Linked DNA regions of Rhinolophus ferrumequinum. The protein of the gene in region 1 purifies or fractionates together with the protein of each later gene. This does not show direct contact. Links are inferred from orthologs where the notes say so. Each region holds a gene or a part of one and is shown on either strand. Other genes may lie near its edges.

What was found.
Region 2: the proteins of CCT8 (region 1) and TLE2 purify together in Homo sapiens (affinity purification with mass spectrometry; 3 studies listed by BioGRID and IntAct, with this or other methods). This does not show direct contact. The link is inferred for Rhinolophus ferrumequinum from reciprocal best matches to the Homo sapiens genes CCT8 and TLE2.
Region 3: the proteins of CCT8 (region 1) and PDCL3 purify together in Homo sapiens (affinity purification with mass spectrometry; 3 studies listed by BioGRID and IntAct, with this or other methods). This does not show direct contact. The link is inferred for Rhinolophus ferrumequinum from reciprocal best matches to the Homo sapiens genes CCT8 and PDCL3.

Annotation. Positions count from the first base shown.
Region 1 is NC_046285.1:95,826,408-95,834,007, reverse strand, and holds the start of CCT8 (T-complex protein 1 subunit theta), read left to right. Parts: upstream 1-4,596; 5' UTR 4,597-4,698; coding exon 4,699-4,758; intron 4,759-7,248; coding exon 7,249-7,339; intron 7,340-7,600. UniProt on the Homo sapiens protein: Component of the chaperonin-containing T-complex (TRiC), a molecular chaperone complex that assists the folding of actin, tubulin and other proteins upon ATP hydrolysis.
Region 2 is NC_046301.1:60,196,990-60,204,211, forward strand, and holds the start of TLE2 (transducin-like enhancer protein 2), read left to right. Parts: upstream 1-4,181; 5' UTR 4,182-4,485; coding exon 4,486-4,509; intron 4,510-4,582; coding exon 4,583-4,680; intron 4,681-5,074; coding exon 5,075-5,138; intron 5,139-5,587; coding exon 5,588-5,632; intron 5,633-7,222.
Region 3 is NC_046296.1:3,918,042-3,925,928, forward strand, and holds the start of PDCL3 (phosducin-like protein 3), read right to left. Parts: upstream 3,022-7,887; 5' UTR 2,897-3,021; coding exon 2,891-2,896; intron 789-2,890; coding exon 656-788; intron 1-655. UniProt on the Homo sapiens protein: Acts as a chaperone for the angiogenic VEGF receptor KDR/VEGFR2, increasing its abundance by inhibiting its ubiquitination and degradation.

The DNA.
Region 1 (7,600 bases):
CTCATCCTTCTTGTGATGTGAGATGATACAATACCTATGTGATAAGACGAAGTAAATGACATGGGCATTGTGATGTAGCATTAGGCTACCATAAGGGTTACTTGAACACGAACACCGTGCTACTGTGACAACAGATCTGATCACTGAGACTAAGTGACTAATGGGTGGGGAGCGTCTACAGTGTGGAGACCCTGGACACAGGGATGGTTCACATCCCAGGCAGGATGGAGCAGGACGGCATGAAATTTCATCGTGCTACATCAGAGATCTTGCACACGCAGGATGGTGGCTGCCCCCAAGCCAAGATAAAAGGCCTCATAATGAAACTGACCTTGTTGGCACCTTGATTTTAGACTTCTCAGCCTCTAAAAAAGAGGGACCAAACACCTTAGATTTAAGGCCTCCTGCAGTCAAATGATTAATATAGTCAGAATGGATACATGTCAGTTTGCTTGAAGTTTTTAAAGTAAGGCAGTGTAAGAACATTATGTTAAGGCCACAACTACCCCATGTTAGGAGAGGAATCTTCTTAATGGAAGGGGAGAAACCTCCAGCTAAACAACCGAAAATCGAGACTAGACATACTGGTCATGGCACGAGTGACATCAGCAAATACTGCATCTGCCTATATGCACTCAGTGTATATTGCACGTCTTGTTTCTTGAAACTTGGGAATATTTGAACTGGGCAAAATAACCTTTGAACTGAGCCAAACCAACATTGTCTTACAAACAACTACTTATAAAGCCAACAGGAAAACAAACACTTGATCACAATGACTGATCACGGAGTCTCTTTCTGATGATAGACTGGTAACCAGCCATGTATAGCTAAAGAGGAACTCGGCTTGTTACCACCAATAGAAATTTCTTTTTCTATTCATGTAATTGTCCCCTTCCTTTTCTCATAAAAACCTTCTGCCTTCACCCTGTATTGGGACACTATTTGGGTTTCTACCTGAATCTGTGCTCCCCTCCCTGCAATTATTTTTGATCCCAAATAAATGTTAGTTGCCTCTCATTTGGGCTATTTATTTCCAGATTAACAGAGTCACCCCATTTAAAGTCTAATGACCTCTTTTCTTTTTTTCTACTCCAATTGAGTGCAAAGCAGCAATCACAAGCATGTTTGGGCTTTACACTAAGCCATGTCCTCCAACGTGTGATATTCTGAATCCCAGTTGCCTGATTCCCATGTAATTGTTTCCAAACTCAGAGAGGGAAACAGGAGTTCTCTTAAGCCCCAAGAAACTTGATTACAATTTTTTAAAAAATTATATTTATAAAGAAAAATTGAGATTTTTCACACAAAAAAGAAATTGAAGTAAAATAAGAAGCTGACACAAAATGAGTCATAAAATCCAAAACCCAATAAAAAGAATCAAATTTGATGGAAAAATAGTGAAAATAGATGATATAGTAATATGAAATCAATAATACAAATTGAGGGGAGGGAAGGGAAGAAAAGCCAGAAGATTAAAGATTTAATGGGAGTTCGCAAAATTAAATACCAAAAAATGTAAAACACATAGACAAGGCTAAAACATTACAAAAAATTCTGAACGTAATTTAGTGGTTACCAGAGGGTAAGGGGGTTGGGGGGTGGGAGATGAAGGTGGGGGGATCAGATATATGGTGATCGAGGGAGAACTGACTCTGGGTGGTGAACACACAATGTAATTTACAGATGATGTGATACAGAATTGCACACCTGAAATCTATGTAATTTTACTGACAATTGTCACCCCAATAAATTAATAAAAAAATTCTGAAGTACAGTGGCAAAAAAAAAAAGAGGAAAAATAGAAACAAAATCACTGGAAACGAATAGTGACTGGTTATCAGAGTCCTGATGGCTTAGACATCCCCACCCAGGGCAAGAGCGGAGTTCCTCCTGAATATAGGGAGCTGAGGGGCAGGCACCCTCACTCCAGGAAACAGCTAAAGGCCATGTTTTCAGTTGGCACCTAACATGAGTCCTGGGCTTTTGAATCAAAATAGCAGAAAACTAGTCTCCTTGGTCTTTTGCAAACTCCCGGGCAAACCCTTTTGATTACTTTGTAATATTCTCTAGTTTTAGAGCATGTACATCTGGATGAAACGAATAGAGACCACACCTCCCAATTCTTTGGTGCCCTCTTCTGGACACCCATTTGATCATCCATTTGTTCATTGTACAATTATTTAAGACTCTCCTCCATGCCATGCCTAGCAGCTGAGATTATAATTTTGTCATTACCACTGTGATCAGTGCTATAAAGGAGAAGTTATGACAATGACTAACAGCGAATGTCTTAGGAATCATCGAAGGCTTTCTAACAAAAGGGTCTTTTTACTGAAGTAGAACTAACTCAGCCGAAAGGGAGTGGGAGCGCATTCTAGGTAGAGAGAAAGCAGAGGCAAAGGCCCTGATGTGGAAGAGGTGAAACAGACAGGATGAATATTCAGGCTATTGTGAGCAGAAGACAGACTGGAAGGCCAAGGAGAAGACACTTGGGAGATAAGCAGGGACCAAACCTAGGCCTCGAAGCCACGTTAAGCATTTGTATTTATTTTCTGGGCAAAGATTATTTGGCCTATTATTTGGATCCAGTGGAAATTTCACCCTCTGATTCTATAACTATGAAGACAGCTTAACCCAAGCAATACAAAATTAATGAATTTTCATCTAAAAATCATTCTTCTTGGCAATTAAATCAATTCAATTTCTTGATAAATTACCATACAGATTTTAATTGATTTCAATTCTTTCCATTTCCTTTTTATTTAAAATTAATTGTAAGATCAATTTTTTATTATAAACTTTCCATGGAAATTTGATTCACCAATTGTTTCATCCTCAAGTTTAAATTTCCACGGTCTTTATCAAAATTCGATTCCTTAGTCAGTTTTTATTAATTAAATTTCATCAGGTGTAATTTTTAACCCCTTTCAGTTTTATTTTGGGTTATAAATAATACTCTAAGTCAGGTAAATAAGTTTTATTTCTTAGCTAATCATGAGAAAATCTTCAGTTGTTCTATCATTGTTCAAGACTGACCTATTGCAGTGGTTCTATCATTTCTCAGTCTTAAGACTCCTTTACTCTTCAAAATTATTGATATTCTCAATAGCTTTTATTAATGAGGGTTATAATTACCAATATTGTTTTATAAACCAAAACTGATATTTTTAATATTAATTTTAAAAAATAACAGTAATAAACTCATCACATGATAACATATTTTATTAAAAATAACTATCTTTCAAAAAAAAAGAGAAGAGTGGCATTGTTTTACATTTTTGCAAGTCTCTTATTTGGTTTAACAGAAGATAACTGGTTTCTCATGCCTTTTACATTCAAACTGTTTTAATCACACACCTTCTGTAACCTCTGGCAAATTTTCCACTGAAACAATGAGAACAAATGTCCCAGCATTATTATGAAAATAGTTTGGTCCTGGAGGACCCTGAGAGGTCTTAGCACACTTCAGAGGTCCCCAAACCACTTTGAGAACCGCTGATTTCTTTGAATGCTTCCCAATAGGTGGTTCACATACCATTTGAGGTGGCAAAAAAGCACTTTTTTATTTTAATAATTATGTATTTTTTGAGAAAAAAGTGGAAAAAGTTATAACTGATGATAGCCATGACACATGTGATTATTCCCCAAAGCACACAAAATCTGTCCCGAAAGAAAATAGTAATTTGTACTGTTCAAGTCAAAGAACAAAAGCCGAGCCAAAACGTTCTGCTTCATGTTTTCTGTATTTTCCACAAGAAGGGATAACTTTCACATTGTGATATAATTCTGTAAAATACTCCATTACCATTCAGTCTTTTTGAAATCAGCCATGTGTTGATGTGGGAAGACACACCGATCAAGTTTTAAGATTCTGGAAGAGTAAAGGGATTTGTATTTCAAGGCAAAAGCAGAAAAAAAGGAAGATAGACAGTGGTTAAAAATGTGCATTCTGTAGTCAGTCTGATCTGGGTAGGCATTCTAGCTTTGACATTACTAACTCTGTGATGTTGGACAAATTATCATTTGTAAACTTGTTTCCGCTTCTACCAAATGGAGAAAATGATAGTTAACTCGTTAAGACTGGCCATTAGCTATGATACTGCATGGAAAACAACACAGAGCCTGGCACATAGGAGCTGTGTAGTTATCCTCACAGACTAATTATTACTCTCACGTCCCCAGCACTTCTTACTAGTATGACCAAGACAGAGCAGACGCCCAACGATAGATTTTTGCGGATGAGGGCAGATGCTCTGCTTCGGGATAAAAGGAAACACCTGCCCTGATGTTATGGGTGGGTCTGGAGGAGTACCTGAAAATTAATATTAGGAGGGAGGCGAGGCTTCCAGGTCAGAAATGTCAAAAGTATAACGTCCCAACCCCGGAGTCTCGACAGTGGGGACAGTCGGGAGCGAGCCTCAACAACCTGGGCCGCCTGCGCATGCGTAGACTCGAAGACTGAAAGCGCGCTCTACGATCGGTTCGATCGATCGACCTGATCGAGGATCGTCAACTCAGTTCTGGCTGCGGGAACTGCTGTATCTCGCGAGGCAGCCGGGAAAGGGGCAGGTCTAGCAGGAGAGAGAGGAGGAGCGTGGGGTCACGGCACGCTGCGTTCCCAGGAGGCTGTGCGTGCCCCTCGCTGCTTCTGGGATCTCGCGATCCGGCGTGTGAAGGGCTACCTGCTTACTAGTCATGGCGCTTCATGTCCCCAAGGCCCCGGGCTTTGCCCAGATGCTCAAGGATGGAGCGAAGGTGAGGAATGGAGAAAGGGGGAGTAAGGTGGAAGAGTCGGCGTAGCGCTGCGGCGGCCGCAATGAAGGAAAAAGGCCTCCTAAAGGGCCGGGTGTGACCCTCCACCCTGACAGCGGTCTAAGGAAGAGAAGATTCCAGAAAGGGAGGTGTTGTCTGGAGGTCTCGGACACAGACGCCCGCGATCATTTCTGCCCTTGCCCGATCCTAGGGAGCGTTGAGAGGTCGGAGGCGGCGGGTTAGGGATGAGGCCGCAGGATTCGCTTCCTCCGTTAACTAGCTGGGCAAGCCTAAAACGTGCATTTCTCCTCCATCCGTAAGACGGGGCGGATTACACTCCATCCTTCGAGAGGAGAGGAGAGGAACAAAGGCCAGTTCTTGGCGGCTTCTTTTCAAGAAGAGCCTTCTGAGAAACCGGGCTCCTCATTTACTTCGTAAAAGTAGTGCGTTATAGTAGGACAGATAGACAATCCAAATGGGTCCTGGGCCAGACTTAGGTTAGTTACCTTGATGTAAAACTTAGCCCTGGAGGTCTTGCTTTCCTCACCTTTAAATTGAGGGGATTGGACCAAAAGATGGTACCTTTAAGTTGTAACTATCAGACTGACCTGTGTAATCCACAGGGTAAGTGACATCCTGGCCTAAATAAAACTGCTTTGTTTTATGGCCAGACCTTGAATGTAATTTAAAGAGCATGATTAAAAAAAAAATATTTTAATGCATTGCTGATAAATTTGTCTCTTGGGCTGTTCCAATAGTGGTCCTTTTTTGTCCTCCAAATTTCCTGTGTTTAATTAAGGAAGTATAGGTCAGCATGGTTCAATTTTAGGTAACAGTTTTTGGGAACTAGTTTCTTGTGGGCGGGATGCACTTTGGCATACCGTGAGTATAAATAAATATTAAGGTTTAATGTAAATGTTGATGAAACCGCTTTGCTGCAAACTACATCAACTACTGCTTACTTTATTTAAAAAGTCAGGCTGAAAATTTCGTAGGCTTTATTCTGAGACAGAAATAATGACTGATCAAGCAAAAAGGATAATTTCACATAACGATGAGAATATAAACAGCACTCTAGTAGAAAACGACAGGAAGTAGCAAAGTCTGCCACCAGAGCAACATGAGTCCGGAGACTTAGAGCAATTAAATAAGATGTTCATGAAAGAACTCTTAGGTCAGTGCTGAGTGGCGCAAGGAACCTGCCAAGATTAAAAGGGAAAGGGTTCCAGGCCGAGGGCCCAGTAAGTACAAATACCTTGAGGATGGAATGAGTTTGAGCTGTTAAAACAGTAAGAAAGGTGATGGCGGAAGCTTACCAAGGGAAGGCAAGGAAAGTAAGAGGTGATTTTAGAGGAGATGTAGCTAAGAGCCAGAACGTGTTGTGTCGGGCCTTGTAGCCCTGAGGAAGGATTTACGATTTATCCTAAGAGTTAGTGGGAAAAGCATTGAAGGGTTTGATGGGATCTGATTTCTAATCAGATGGTTGTTTCTCCGAGAATGGAGGTGAGGTGGGGAAGAAGCAAGAGTGTAGGGCAGGGGATCAGACTGAATGCTATTCTAAGAGTCCACCCCTTCTAAAGAAGTGATTATTAACCTTGTTTGGATCACAGTTAGTTTTGTGAGTGTAATAAAAGCCACACTTTATGCTCTAGAACAGTATTGTCTGACAGAACTTTCTCTGATGATGGAAACGTATGTCAGCATTGCCCAGTATGGTGTCCACTAGCCACATATAGCCACTGGGCGCTTGAACTGTAGCTAGTGCAATTGAGAAACTGAATTTTTAATTTTAATTACATAAAATTGAAATAACCATGTGGCTAATGCTACTATGTTAGGCAAAGCAGCTCTAGAAAAAGGGTCCGGAGAACAGTAGGCTCATGAAACCTATCTGAGGTCACAAATAAATCACGTCTAAAAGAAGTCCAATATAAAACTTGAGAATTTTAGTGCTGTGAGCGATTCATCAATTTTTTTCAGTATGTACACATTGGAATTGTGTTGCCATTCAAGTCTGTATACTTTAGTCCCTAAACATTTGGGGGCAGGTACGTTAAATGGGAATTCCCTGTGAACATAGAACTGTTAGCGTTATGATACTCAGGCTCTAACACAATTAGAAAAGTATTCATACCACATTGCAACTTGTAGTCAGAAAGTACTGATAAAAGGTATTTTTACCTGAAATAAATCACATGCTTTCTCTGATTAATCTTAGCACTTTTCCACTACATTAAAAAAAAAAATTTACAGGCTTTATGTTTGAATGTGTAGATAGGTACTGGTGGCCCCTAAAAATGTCATGCTTTGTTCATTAAACTAGTGAGCAAATTTATGGATCATTTATGAATACCAAGCACCATGCTTTACATACACAAATCTTACTTGATTATCTCAACAGTCCTGTGAATAGGTACCATTATTACCCCCGTTTTACAGATGAAGAAAATTACTGTGTTTCACTGTCGCGTCTAATAAGAAGTTCTTTTACAGCATTTTTCAGGATTAGAAGAGGCTGTGTACAGGAACATACAGGCTTGCAAGGAGCTTGCCCAGACGACTCGTACAGCATATGGACCAAATGGTAATTTCTAAATTAATCTTTTAAAAGTTACAGTAGTAGAATTTCATGTACTAGCTCTTTCAAACTTACTGTGAGAGCATTATATATAAATTGAATTTTGGCGATCACGTAGTATGGCTTTGAAAGTTATTTCGTAGTTCAATGACACCAGTACAGTGCTTCCAGTTTTTAATCAGCAATTCAGATATCTTTAGAAAAATAGGAATCCAAATGTTACTTTATGGTTCTTTCACCATCGAGACAGTGCCTAATGTTCAATGC
Region 2 (7,222 bases), on another chromosome or scaffold:
TTTACCTCAGTTTAGCTACCGGTGAAATAGGGCGAAAGGCGCCCAGTCGACCCCGCTCCCTGAGAGGGGTTTTGCAAGGTAATTTGTTGGGCGAGGGGCTCTTGATTTTAAGGGGAGACCTACCAGGCTCCCGGGGTGGCTCGCTGCTATGTTTTTGGATAGTAATCGAACTGGATCCCTCACTCTAACCTAGCCAGGCTGGGGCGTACACGAGGGTCTCAGCCTCTCTTAGGGAGGAAGAAGCTACACTCTGCATATCCCGCTGGGAGCGCCTCGCCGCCTTCCGATTGGCCTAGACGATCTTAGTGCCGCCCGTTATTGGTTGCCAGTTCCATGATTCCCATTGGCCAGCGCCCATTGTGACGTCACGGACCCATGTGGGAGCACCGTGGGCGGATTGGCTGGCGCGTTCAGCCAACCACCACAGAGAAAGGAATTTCCACAGTAGCTGGGACTGCGGGGCTGATTTAAGGTGGTCTGAGCAATCCCGGGTCCCAGCGCTGCTTCTCAGCTTTTTCCTTTAAAATAAATAAATAAATAAATAAACCACATCCACAGCATAAAAACCCAGCCAAGAACCGGGGCTGAGCCTTTCTGTATAGTGGGAGGGGAGAAATCGGAAACTAAGCCCCTTCCTCCATTTTGCAGTTTCCTGGATTTTGCAGATGGGGAAACTGAGGCCCAGAGAGATGGAGCTTGAAGCGAGCCTCCCACCACCAGCACCATGGCAAACGAGTTAGCTGGGGAATTGAGAAGGTTGTGCTAGACTGCCCAGGCTGTAACTCAGGCCTTGCCAGGCCTTTCCCTGCCTCCTGCTCTGGGTGAATGTGGGACTTCAGCGAGTTATGGAGTAACAGGCTTCCTAAGGGTCCTCCTAACTCACAGACTACTCTTAGCTGAGCCTTCCCAAATTCTCAGAGCTGCTCCCAAGCTGAGGTTGCTACTGCTTAGAGCAAACCATCTCTTCCTTTTTGGCAGATCTCACACACAAGAGATGGTGTGTGTGTGTATGTGTGTGTGTGGTCTTGTGGCTTCTCAGGCAATCCACAAATCTGTATTTACTCTCCTCAGTGGAGTGTGCCTGGCTGAGAAATCTAAAGACTGGTAGGTAAAGGTTCCCTCCTCCAGGAAGCCTCCTGTTGACTCCATAGGCAGAGACCCTGTTCCATCTCCCTCGGGGTGCTTCCGCCCTGGATCTGTCCCCCTGTTCTGGCATTGACTACGTGTGCCCTGGAGTGTGTCCTCAGTTCTGTCTCTCCCCATCCAGCTACCCTGGGAACCCTCCCAGCAAAGCCTGAGGCCGGGTCCTTCCTAAGGCCCCAGCATCTTCCAGCATGAGAAGGTGGTTATTGAATAAATATCAACTTTAGACAGTCTGTATTCAATGTGTGTGCGGAGGGGAAGATGCCTGGAGGAGGTGCCATTTGGGCTGGGCCCTGAAGGAAGGGATTTCGAGCAGGCAGAAAAAGAGCTGAGGGAATTCCAGGAAGAGATAAGCAAAGGCCCAGAGGTGAGAAAGAACACAGATTAAGTAATCCAGCTGGCGTGGCTGGAGCAGAGGGAGTGTTTGAACTGGTAGAGGGAGGTGAAGCTGGGTCAGGCCAGGAGGTGAAGGGTATCCATGCTAACCTGAAGATCTGGGAATTTGTCCCAAGGGCAATAGGGAGCCATGGGAGGGCTTTGAGTGAGGGAGGGCCAGACTCAAAGGAAGGTGATGAGAGTGAAGGCTGTTCAGAGCAGTGAGTTGGCTTGAGATCCAGATGGCGGAGGATGAAGGGTTGGTACAGGCAGGGGTTGTTGGGAAGGGGAGCAGAGTTGCATGGCAGGTGAGGGGGAAAGAAGAGGCTAGGCTGATGCTCTATCTTGGGGGGGTCAGGGTGGGCTGTGGGGTGTAACAGGTTTGGGGAAGATGCTTTGTCTAATGACCTGGGGGTGTCCAGGGGGGACATCCATTTGGTGGCTGCACCCACAGGGCTGGGTCTCAGGGTAGGGGCCAGGGGTGGACCCAGAGCGTGCAGCCATTCTCATGAGTGTTCAGGAGGGCATGGGGACAGGGGGAAGAAAGGCTGCCTGGAAAAAGTTTTTGAGGACTTCACAGACCCTCTCCCCCCAGAACCAGAATCACAATCTCCTAGCATTGTGGAATCCTGGAACTCCCTGCTTCTGAAAATTTCCCAGCAGGAGTGGGGCCAGTGATTACCACCTTTAGCTGCATCAGCTCTTTCTTCTCATCCCAAGGCCCGTTTTTTTATTGAGCACTTACTGTGGGCCAGCTCTGCAGGGACCAAGACAGGCTCTGTCCCTACACAGCCTAGTACTAGGGGAAAACAAATAATGACTAGAACAACCCACGAAGAAACATAATCATGTCAAAAATAAAAACTCTGTTAGGACCTAGAAAGAGAGAATAGGATGCGGTGTTTAAAAACAACAAGGTAGAGTGGGTGAATGCTGCTTCAATGGGTGGCCAGGAGGGGACTTTATGAGGAGGTGACATTTGAGCTGAGACCTGAATGATGAGAAGCAAGGGGACCAGTGTTCCAGGTAGAGGGAACAGTCAGTGCAAAGGCTTTGAGGCAGGACTGTGCCTGGAGAGTTGGAGAAACAGAGAATGGCTGGAGCAGAATGAATGAGGGTGAAAGTGAAGGGAGTTAGGATCAAGATGGGGACCGTGGGGAGGGGGTTTGTGCAGGGCTTTGTGGGAAGAGGGAAGAGTCTGGATTTTATTTTGAAGGCAATAGGAAATCATTGAATTCTCCCTTCATCACACACACAGATAACACTCCCTGGATCTCTCTTTACCTCCCCTCCCATGGTTTCCTCTCTTTATCTTTCAAGTCTCATGTCCAACATTAACCTCCTCAAAGAGGCCTTTCCCAGACACCCCAGATAAGTAGGTTCCCTCTTGTCAACCTTTTCCACTGCTCCCTAAACTCTTCTCTTGTGCACACAAATAATTCCATCATTACCAAGCTGTGATCTTGTCTCGCAAACTGAGAGAAGGCAGGAATCCATTCTCCTTCATCCACTCTTGTATGCCTGGGAGGATGTGTGGCATATAGTAGATGCTCAATAAATTTGTTGACTGGAAAGTGATGCTTTTAAGTTTAAGGACTTTTGTACATTGTCACTCACACAATTACTGACATGGGTGTGGACATTAACACCTGGCAAGAGGTTTTCTCTGTTTTGTTCCCTGTTGAGAGCCCCAGTGCCGAGAGCAGGGTCTGGTCCAGAGTAGGCACCCAGTACGTGTTTGTTGATTGCCTTAATGAATGACTCTGAGGTTTCTCACACGCAGGATGGGAATAAGAACATCCCATCTCCCAGGTGAATGTGAGGGACAGTAGCTGGATGTCTGAGGTCCATGGTGGGGGTTGGAGCCCCTGCCCTCAGAGAGACTTCAGTCTGAAGGCAGAGATTCCGTTCCCATTCTCACTGGGACTTCTGCCTTCTACCGCGTTTCCCCGAAAATAAGACCTAGCCATGAGACCGGGTCTTATATTAATTTTTGCTCCGAAAGACACATTAGAGCTGATTGTCCAGGTAGGTCTTATTTTCGGAGAAACACAGAGCCTACAGTCTGCTGGTTGTGGCAGTTGGAACACCAACTCCCATACTGTGAGCCAAGCCCGGCTGAGGGCTGTGCATGTACCATCTCGTAAAAAACAGCCCCTGCCTCTGCCCTTTTCAGAGAATCCTGAGGCCCAGTGTGGGGGAGAGCCTGCCTGGGCCCCCCACCTCTTGCCCTCCTCTGGGCCTCTGCCCCTTGCTATTTCATTTCTCCTGGGGGAAGGCTTCCCTGCCAGCACTTGATAAGGCTGCTTCCTCCTTATCCTTAAGTCTTAGCCCACATCCTCAGAAAGGCCATTTCTGACCACAAACTGCTCTCCCCACCGTGGGCCGCCAGGTATTTGTTTCCTTGCTTTTTTTTTCTCTGGGGCCCCCTGGGGAGGGAGGGAGTGAGCGGGGACGATGTTTGTGGGGCTGGACTCGAGCCTCAGTTTCTCCACTGGGCACTGGTCGAAGGGACGGGTGGGCTTCCGGAGCTACGGCTCCAGGTTGGGGGGGGAGCAGGGTGGGTGGCGGGCGGGCCGGGTGGGCGGGCCTGGGGGGCGGCGGCGCCACCTTAAGGCAGCTCAGCCCGCGGCTCCCGGCCGAGCCCCGCCGGAGGGAGGCGGCTCCGCGCGGGGCCCGCCGCCCGCGCCTCCGACACCCGGCCGCGGCTCGCCGACCTTCTGCGCCCACCGCCCAGCGCCCCTGCCCAGGGGAGGGGTCCTCGTTGTCCCTCTCCGTCCTCGTGACCCTGCGCGCACGATTGGGGGACGCGGGGACTCCAGGGTCTTCTGCCCCACGCCGCCCGCCCCCCGTCTTCTTTCTCCGGGCAGACCCCCGCCCCCAGCCTCTTTCTCTCTCCCACCCCCTCGCCTCGACCCCCCCACATTGTCACACTCCGGCGCGAGGGGGGCTTCCCAGATCGACAGGATGTACCCTCAGGGAAGGCACCCGGTGAGTGGGGGCCTGGGCTGCGGGGGTGGGGGACCCAGCGCCCGGGAACTCAGACCTCAGACGTCCCCCCCAGACCCCGCTTCAGTCCGGTCAGCCCTTCAAGTTCTCGATCTTGGAGATCTGCGACCGCATCAAAGAGGAATTCCAGTTCCTTCAGGCTCAGTATCATAGGTGAGGGGGGGCGGGGCGCCCCTCCTGGGGCACCGGGAAGCTCACCTGCGAGCTCACCTGGGAGCTCAGGGAGAGGGGCGGGGCGCGTGGGACCGGGCCAGGCGGGGGCGGGGCCTCCAGGGTGCTGGGAGTAGGGCTGGCCCCCAGAGGTGAGGGGAGAGCTTCCAGGTGGAAGCGCAGGGTGAGGGAAATGGGGACAGTGGGTGCTTGGACATTTTGAGTCTGGGAAGGCGGGGGTGGAGGGTGGGGGTGTAAAGAAGTGGGGAGGAGGAGTGTCAAACCCATCATTTTGGAAACTGGCCCAAAGCGGGTATCCGTGGGGTGTCCCGGTTTCCCTGAGTCTCCCTCTGGGGGTCATGGAGAGTGGGGTACCCATGCCCTTTCTCCTTCCCAGCCTCAAGCTGGAATGTGAGAAGTTGGCCAGTGAGAAGACCGAAATGCAGCGACATTATGTCATGGTGAGGAGGGTAGCATGTCAGGGTGGGGGGAGTGGGGCACAGGGCTTGGCCAGGAGTGAAAACACTTGGGTTGTGAATCCCAACTCACTGGGCCACTCTGGGTAAGTCCCTGCCCCTCTTGGGGCTTCATTTTCCGTATCTGTAAAGTTGGCTGGTTGGGATTCCAGGCTGTTTCTCCCAGGACCCTCCCAGCTCTTAAGAACAATGAGACAAGAATGTCTCTTCTCCTCATCTCTGGGCCAGGGTCTCAGCACCACCACCTGCCCCACCTCCTGGAGAGAGTGGAAGGGTGACCTGCTTCTCCCTAGGGGGTCCCCATGGGGTTGGGATGATCTGTGCCCTGAGGTGACCACCCCAGCCTGAGGGCTCCTGAAGACCCAGAGTCACCCAGCACAGGGCTGGACATCCGTCGGCACCGTGGACATTGCCAACTGGCTTTTCCTTTGCAGTACTATGAGATGTCCTATGGGCTCAACGTTGAAATGCATAAGCAGGTAACTGTTGGGGGTGAAGGTGTTCAGTAGGTAGGGTGGGGGTCTGGAAGCTGTCAGAGGGACTCAACACTAGGGCAGTCTGGGGCAAGGCAGATCCAGGCAACAGGGGTCTAAACCTGAAATCTTTGGGACCAGCGGGGGCAGATTTCAGCCTCTGGATAGGAAAATGATTCTGAATTTCTAGAGCCTTTATCCAGCAGAGGGGAGTGGTGGGCAGGGCCAAGCATCCCTGTCAAGGGCGCTCATAGCAGAGGCTGGCAGCCAAGTCAGGGAGGCTGTGGAGGTGACTTCTGTCCTGGAAAGGGGCCAGATGAACAGTCTTGGAGGTCCCTTTGAGCCTGAGGCTCTGAGATGGCCCCAAGCTTCTGTCAACTGTTTTGAAAGGTCTGAGATTGACTCTAGTGCTTTGCGGTTCTGAGACTCTCCTATGCTTCTGAGTGTGATCTCGAGGTACTGAGTTAGATTGGAAGGTTCTGAAATTGACTCCAATTGTCCAAGATTGATCCTGAGATCCTGAGACTGACTTCCAGGTTCTCTGATGGCTTGTAATAGGATGGAGATTCTGAGGTTAAGAGAATCTTAGGTTCTGTCCATCCGAATATTAGTCAATGCATGGAGCCTAGTGTTGGGTCTTCCGGTGGGTGGGCTGGAATGTAGTGTGCACGGGGCTCCCTGGCGTGCTTTTCCATGTATGTGTGGGCTCTGCTGGCTCTGGGGGTGCTGGGAGGGCTGTGCCTTTCTGGAGCATGACATGGACTCATGGATATATGAAATAGAACCCCTCATGGGGTGGCAGGCATAGGGTACAGCCTGGTCTTTGGGAGCCTGGTTCTGCCCTCCTGGTGGGAACTGCCCCCCGACACACTGCACACAGCATGCCTGTAACCCAGGCAGACACAAAAGCATAGGCTTCACTGCACACACACCCTTTTCCCACCCACAAGGCTTCTCCTATGTTCCGCCTCCATGGGGTACCCCTGGTCCAGACCCTATCCGGGATGAAACCTACAAGTAAGCCACTCTGTTTCCATTGCTATATACTTCCAACACTAAGTGTGGGTTTTCCCCACACCAACCAATTCTCCAACTCTTAACACCCGCCAGATGTCCTGCAGATCAGCTCCATTCTGACACTTTCTGCTCCAAGTTAGTCCAGACCCCACAGGTTCAGGGCTCAGCCCCACAGGACTGTCCCCACTTCAGATAGGGACTTTGCAAGTCTGTGCTTCCTACAGTTCTGAGCAACTGGCTATAAAATCAGGGGTTCTCATCACCCCTTCTTGGGCTCAATAATTTGCTAGAATGGCTCACAGAACTCAGGAAAGCTCTTACTTATTATTATCTGTTCATTATAAAAGTTATAACTCAGAAACAGCTAGATGGAACAGAGGGCAAGGTATGGGGAAGGGGTGCAGAGCTTCCATGCCCTCTCCAAGCGCCGCTCTCCCAGCACCTTTGTGTGTTCACCTACCCAGAGGGTCTCCAGACCCTGTATTTCAGAGAATGTTTTTTAAACGTCACAGTTATTTAATCCGCACGTGTTCCAGAGATCCCCCTCCCTCCCTCCCTCCCTCCCAGCCCTCCACAGTC
Region 3 (7,887 bases), on another chromosome or scaffold:
ATGTAAACGGGACAAAAGTACTACCCCTGTGATCAGTGGTTCTCAAACTCTGACTCTGTGAGTCAACAATCCTGAGGCACTTATTTAAAATACAGGTTCCTGGGCTGCCGCCACCCACCCCGCCCCCAGAGATGCTGATTCAGTAGGAACTGGGTTTTTTAACAAACACCCCAGGAGATTCAGAATCAGGTGGTATAACCACTTTTGAGAACCTCTCTCTCAGCCCCCACACATTGCAAACATCTTACGCTTCCCCAAATGAAACGACTTGAATATTCTCAATCAAACCACAAAGAGAATAAAGTATAAGCTAAGGAGAACACAAACACTAAAACCTTGGAGCGCATCTCCATGACAGTCTACCAAGGGAATCACAACAAGAAAGTCCTTTCTTCGGGGTTGTCATGTGCTCATCTGACACAGACAAAGAACTGTGGCGATGGAGGGGCCTTTGAACTCCCCTCATTCTATGGCCCAGAGAGTTGCAAGCTGGGACTTTCTGCAACTTGCCTGCGGTCCCACAGTGTCCTGTCCAGCACTCCAAACCTTGGCTGCCCAACTCTTGCCCAGAGGATCCTTCCACCAGAGCAGTTAGAGGCGTAGAAAGTGTTTCCTACCCAGACAGACACAGAACAAAGAATACAAGCTATCTCACCAATGGACTGCTGAAGGACTCGCTGCTCGTCCTCCTCCTCTGCCTCCTTTTCCAATTCATTCAAACTTTCCTTTGAGGGCAGGATGCCCTTTTTGCGTAAGATGTCATTCCACTCGGTGTCTGCGTTGGGGTCCTAGAGCAGTGGGACCAAGGATACCATGAGAGCAACGTCCACTATGGAGGGTGCCACGTTGGGCAAGGGGTCAAATGGGAAAGGTGGTGGGAAGAAAGTTCAAACCAAGTCATTCTATGTCGCTTCTAAGAAAGTGTCAAAAGATCCACAGCCCCTGTTACATTCTTCCTGTCACTTACTCAAAGCTCCCAACCCTACAGTAGAGCTAGTACTGGGGTAAAAACTAGGATCTGATGCACAGGCTCTGACCTGATGTTTGCTCAATATTTTTATTAATGACTTGGAGTGATTCATTCAACGGGTATTTATTAAGTACCTAGTATATGTACCAACTATAAGTAAATTACTGCACTAGATGGTAGGGACGCATGGTGCCAGAACCATCTATTTTAATCAAGAGGAAGAGACAAGCAATGAACAATGAAATATACTAACAGATATATAATACAAATTGTAAGTGCAATGACCAACAGGCTGCTGACCTAGTTACAGGGGGCCCGCATTCCACAGGATGGGCAGAGACGCTCTCTCAGAAGAGGTGACATTTAACCATCACTGGAAGGTGAAAAGGAACCAGACACGAGGAGAACTTAGGAAATTACTTCCCAGGTAGAGGGACCAGCACGTGCAAAGTGCCCAAGAGCAGAAATATTGAGCATCTCAAAGTCATGAGTGGCTGCGTTAGAATCAGAGGGAGGAGAGCCTGATGCCGGCTGACAAACCCTCTAATGGCCAAACCTGAGAGCTGAGACCCCAGTGGAATAGCTCACAAGGGCTAACACTTACTGAGTACTACGTGCTGGGAACGCTTCTAAGTCCTTTACCTGTACCTGCGGGACATGGCATTTAGGAAGTCTGCTGTGCTGGACGGAACAAGACGAATTTAACCAAGATCAAATGTCAGAAGGATAAATGTCGAAGTGGGCTCTTAGCTCCAGAACCCAGCCAGCCAAACACTGGTTTTGCATGGCTTGGCAGGAACACTGCTAAGGGACCTGGTTTGAAACATGAAATCAAGGAGCACCGAGGAAAGGGCACTGACCTAGCCAGGCTCTAGCCCCAGCTCCGAGTCTTGCTGAGATATTTTAAAAGAAAAAAAAACAGAATTCTTTCAACAGGGAAGGCCTCTGAAGAGGTGACATTTTTAAGAAGGGACAGAAAGGACAGAGAATGCAAAGGAGGCCCGGGCAGCCCTGGAGCTTCCTCATCATTTAAGCGTGTCTGGCTTGTGGCAGACACATTGTATTTGCAATGACCATCCTCTCCAGGCCCGGATACCTTCTGGCCCAAACGAACCCACACGAACTCCATTTCCCACTTGCCAACAAGCCAGAGAGGATTCAGCCACAGCGAGATCTGGGAGGCGGGAGAAAGACCTTTGGAAGAGGGTCCTCGCACAGTGACAAAATTCAGTTGTCAGATTTTTGCTCATAAAAGCATCCATTTTTCATGGTGTCTCCATTCATTTTTTTTCACTTTTCTTTGGGTTTTCATCAAATTCCATTAGCACATTCCAGAGACAATAAAAGGACAAAACTAGGGGATCTAGTTTTCTTCATTTTAAGACTGAAAGTAACTGGGTAGAGGGACCCTCGGGCTCAGCTCTGGAGGTCAGGTGAGCGCACCTCAACCTGAACACGAACACGGGCGGGAGGAGGGTGTAACTAACCCCTCCCCGGGCTCTAAGTGGAGTCAGGAACACGGATTCCGCCACTTTCGTGTTATGGAACCCTCGACAGGACTCTTCACTTCTCCCAGCTTCCCGATCCATGCAACGGTTCCGTAACACACCTGCTCAGGTGTTAGAGTTAACAAGTAGGAAGTAACTTTGCCAGGTGGGATCCGACCTCAAGGAGGGGTAGCCCCCAAGGATGGAGATCTGGGGGGTGGACCACACAGGGGTGGGAACGCCCAGACGGCGGCACCACGCCCACCCCCCCTCACTGCGTCTGCGCCGGGCCTCGACTCGCGTGGCCTGTCGGTGCCTGTGGCGTCCGGAGCTTCCCGCGGCCCGGCCGGGACAGTCCGCCGCCGCCGCCGGGGACCCAACGGGGCAAACGAGCGGCCGCAGTCTCCAGGTCTCGTGCCCCCGGCTTGCTCACCTGCATCTTGTCGCAGATAACTCAATCCAGGCGGGCCGCGACGCCACCGCCCCTCACTCTCTTCCGCGCACGCGCACAGCCGCCGCCCCGCCTCGTCTCTCAGCCCAGCTTCGGCCCCGCCCTCCAGGAGTGAGCTGGGCGGAGCCAGGGAGGGAGCGAGGCCTCTGAGTGCGTCCTCTCCTGAAACCGGCGCAGAAGCTGTGCGCACGCGCGAGACAGGACACGCCTACCGTCGGTCGGGGCAGCAAAATTCACGTGACCCGGAGCCAAACCTGGGCGCAACCTTATTAGGGTAGGTCAATCGCCTTGGGTTAGTGGGGCTGGGTGGGGGAGGTACCCAGTGCCAGTGCGCCTTTTTCAGCCTTATACCTAATTGTGTAGAAAAGGTCTCTGCCCAAGAAGTCAGAAATAGAAATGTTTCAGTGACCCAGTGTTACAATTAAAAACGATGCAGGGTGACCTGGAATTCACTATGATTTCAGCGTCGGATAAGGCAGTTCATTCATAAGACACATATTTATTGGGGGCTTGTTTTATACCCGGCTCTGTTCTAGGCTCTGCGGACATGGCAGTGATCGCACCAGACAAAACCAGAAAGGTGACAAGTCATTTACCTAGTTGAGCCTCAGGTGATTCATATTCGTAAAAGTGCCCGACCTATAGGGGCACACAGTAGGCACTGAATAAAATCAGCAGAGTCTGAATTGTCAAATGCAGGTGCTGGGCTCCAGGCTTCTACCTTAAGACATCTGGGCTGGTGTTGCCGTCTTGGAGATTTTCTGTCCTCCGCCCTGGGCCAAACCTCTATACTATGGAGGTTCTGACCACACAAGGCTGCGGCCACTCCCAAGCATGTCCCCAGTATGGATCTTCTGCGGTACAGATCCAAGGAAGATGAGATCTGAAATTCACTGGTTGCCAAACCTACCCAGCTTCAGCCCTGGGAAGCTGGGGGACATGGGAGCTGTCATTCACCTGTTGAACCCATAAGAGCATATGTACTGCAACGGTTGAGCTATGTTGGAAAGGGAGGTTTTCCTCTTCAGCGGTGCGGTGAGCTGCCACTCGGTTGCTGAGCTCACTGGGACAGTTCTTCCATAAGGTAGAGCCGTGGGACATGGATGCAGTCCCTAGCTTCAGTACCATGCATTTCCACTGTTCTAAGTTTCCACAGATTTTGTGGAATTAGTGTTTCTCAGTTTGTTGTACACCCTTTGGTCAATCTCTAAAGATTTTGAATGGTTGTCTTTGTTAATCTTGACCAGCTTAATAGGTGTCTCTCTTGGGGAATGGTTTCCCTGAACACCTCATGCTACCATTCTGGAAGTCCTACCTGGGGTAACTTGTTACACAGCAATAGATCAATAGATAACAAACACAATGGCCAAGCAAGGAGGTAGAACTTAAATTAAGACCAGCAACCAGTTAGATGGAGAGCAGCTAAGGCCTTTCAAGTAGGAGAAACAGAAAGTACAAAAGTATGGGTGGTGGAGGCACTGAGGAATATTTGAGTTAGAGAAGTGGTTCTCCAAATGTGGCCCTTGCACCAGCATCGTCAGTATCACCTGGGAACTCACTAACAATGTGACTTCTTGGGTGCCACTCTACCCTACTGCACTGATCTCTAGGGATGGAGCGCTGCAACCTGAGTTTCAGCAAGTCCTATAGGTGTTGCTGAAGCACACTGAAGTTTGAGAACCACTGGAATGTAAGAGCTGTTTTTCACCATCTGTAATAGCTGGGCTCTGTGTGTGTCCAGATTCTAGGTGGTTTCCCTATTTTTTTATAAGTAATGAGATAAGGAGCCAATAAATGCGTTCTCTTAGCGAATGCTTTAGGGCCTTATTAAAGAAAACTGCTCCCCAACACCAGTCCCATGAAGCTGGTCATGCTTTGCTGGAAATAAGTCACCTCCGATTTTAGCCTGAATTTTATTTAGTTCCAGTTGCTTTAATGAACCACCCTGCAGTTGTCCTGCACATGCCACCTTAGGCTTTGTAGGACTTTGCTTCAGGGTGTGGTTGACGGTCACAATGGCAAAGGGAAATGTGGACCTTTGGCTCTAGTGCAATTTAAAAGGGAATATTTAAACTTTGGCTAAACCCAGTTAACTGAAAGAACTGAAATGTATCCAGGACTGAAAGAGTGAAAATCAACTTGGACTGAAAAAAAGAGTAAAAGCAGCCCTGCTATTCGTCAGGCTGGGAGGACAGACTCAGATAAAGCCAAATGCAGAGTTCACAGAGAACAGCCCTTCTCCTAAGGTCTGGCCGCAGCTGTAAAATGCCATAACATGCCCACTTGGAATGACCACTGCTTTCTTACCAATGAGGCCCCATAGACTTGTTTTACTGCACCCATTTTTTACAAGGGACTCCCAGATGCTGAGCCTGGCTCACGATGGTGTACAACCCTTAGAGAGTCCCCAGTTCTCCTATTTCTGTCTTGGAAATTGCAACCAGTGCAGAACTGACCCCCACTTCCTTTGGACCCTCCTGAGATCCTTCGGGAGGAGCCATGACCTTACAAATCTCCTCCCTCTGACAGCGCAGTGCTTTGTGGCTCCGCGGAGCCTCCCTCACTGCATCAAGTCCGTAAGTCTGATTTTGTTGGACTCCAGGCGTCTCCCAGGTGGTCTTTGTCTGATTGAGCTTTAACAGAAGGAAAATGGCCTGTTGGCCTATATTTGGAGGAGGAGTGGTGGTGACATTTGTTTATTTGTTTGTACTTGACTTGATTCCCAATTTTAGATCCCAGGTCACGGAAAGGAACCCAGAGGACTGACTGTCCGTGAAATTGCCCGTGATTACTTCTCATCACATTTCAAATCAGTCCCTATCTTTGGCTCCCCATAATTATTAGGTATTTTCTTGTCAGAGCCCTACGCAAAGATCTAATATTATCAGTCATGCATCCAGCACAGCAATCTTTCATCGCATCAAATATAATCTCTAAAGTTATTAATAATACTGACATTCTCCACCTAAGAAACTTGCACCAATAATTGCAACAAACGAGTTGAGAGCTTTGTGACTTGAATAATGCAGTCTTTCTGATGTATTAAGCTAGTATATTACTTCACTACCTTGAATGTGGACTAGGCACTCACCTTTTACATGTTCCGTTACTCATCCATTCACTCAAACATTTTTCAAGAGCCTGACTGTACTTCGTACGCTGTCCTAGGTCTCCAAACTTACAATGAATTAGACAAGGCCCCTGCCTCCAGGAAGCTTGCACTGTGGTTGGGGAGAGAACCAGGGGCAGCCAGAGTGAAGAGATGTAAAGCTCTGTTGATGAAGAGGTCCAGAGCTCCAAGCCCAGAGTGTCAGACAGACGTCTACAGGGGCTTTGAGGCAAACCTGGATGACACGGGACATGAGACAGAGAGGAGGACCAAGAACAAATTCCCAGATCCCTCGAGGGAAGGGGGAGTGCCGCCAGGATGTCTGCAGATGACAGCACTGAGGAAGGGTAGGATGGCTTAGCGGGAGGAAACGAGTCACCAAGAAGTACGATGTTTGGGGGGAGGTGGGGGACAATTGGCCTGGAATACTTACGGCAGGGAGGAGGCTCTCCCCTCTAGGCACCCTGGGGCGCCTGGTGTTCTGGACCCTGAGCAGCGTCTCCCAGGAAGCGTCTCCTTCTGCCATCCCCAGGAAGTCCTCAGGAAGGAGCAAGGAAGTAGGGGTACAGCATTTAAGGATGAGACTGCCAATAAAGAGTGGTTTTTATCCCGGTCCAAAAGTCTAGAGAGCTCGTAGGGAGGGGTGGCCCTGGAGGAGAGGGAGGCAATGAAAGAATGGCTAGAAGGACAATTCTGGGGCAGCAAGCATGGTGCTTATCTGCTCTTGAGTGGAGGCTATAGCCGCTGGCAGTGTGTACCATGGCCAAGTATGTGGGTGGGGTCCGCGGGGTTGTGCTGTTTTGAGGAGTCCTAATGGCTGAGTCACAGGGCCGGGTTGTCAGTCTGAGCAGCTAGCAGTGTGATTGGCCTGGGTGGGGGGCTCAAGGCCTTGGTAGGTCAGCCACCTTGTCTAAAGTCCTGAGGTTGAGGCCAGAGGGGGCTCAGAACCCCCTGGAGTGTTCTGGCTGCCCCGAGAAGCATCTCAAATACATCAGATGGCAATCCCTCCATTAGCATCAGCACAAGCCATTCTCCTGCTTGGCAGCAAGCCATAGTAGGGCCGCACAGAAATCTCACTGAGCACCTACTATGTGCTGAGCGTGTGTTAAGCTCTGTATGTAAAACACTGGCCTAGACATTTGGGATCCATGCCCTCCTGTCCTCATGGTGTTTTAATGTCTGGGAGAGAAGACAGACATTAAATCAGAAACTATAAGAGCAGTGGGTGGTACGAGGTCAAGTGCAGGTTTCAGGAGGAGAATGTTCAGGGAAATCTGCCTTGTGTGGGTCAACAGAGTTCTGTTGAGAATCCCCTGGCTCAGCTGGATTAGAGAAGTGTAGCCCCCCAGTGTGCTACCCCCACCAACCGCAGGGGAAGAGGGTGAACAGCCCAAGTCCACTCACGCACCCAGGATCCAGAAGAATTTCAAAGCAGTTCTTGACTTCAGATTCCAGCACACCTTCTCGTCCTTTGAGAGAGCGTTCACAGGAATGTTCAGGAATAGAGTCTCTTTACTGTTCAGCTTGTCCGTTCTCACCCACACACGGCCTTCACTTCAGTGGCCCAGGGCAGCTGCTCACGTCTGACCCTTCTTGCCGTCGCTGGGCCACAAATCCCTCTCCTCCAGACCCTCTCTCTTCCCTCTTCTGCGTAGTCTGGTCCACAGGATCCCACCTCTTCTTCTTGGCCCCCCGTTTCAGAAGACAGCCATTCAGTTCATCCAGTTCCACGCAGACGAGGTGGGGACGGGGGCCCATTGGATCCTGCTGGTGGAGATCTGCCAGCCCCCGACAGGCTTTTGCACTAAGGACCCCTCCTTCCCCCCGCATATCACAGCGTTGGTACTTAGTTCCGTGTTAGTCAGCTGGT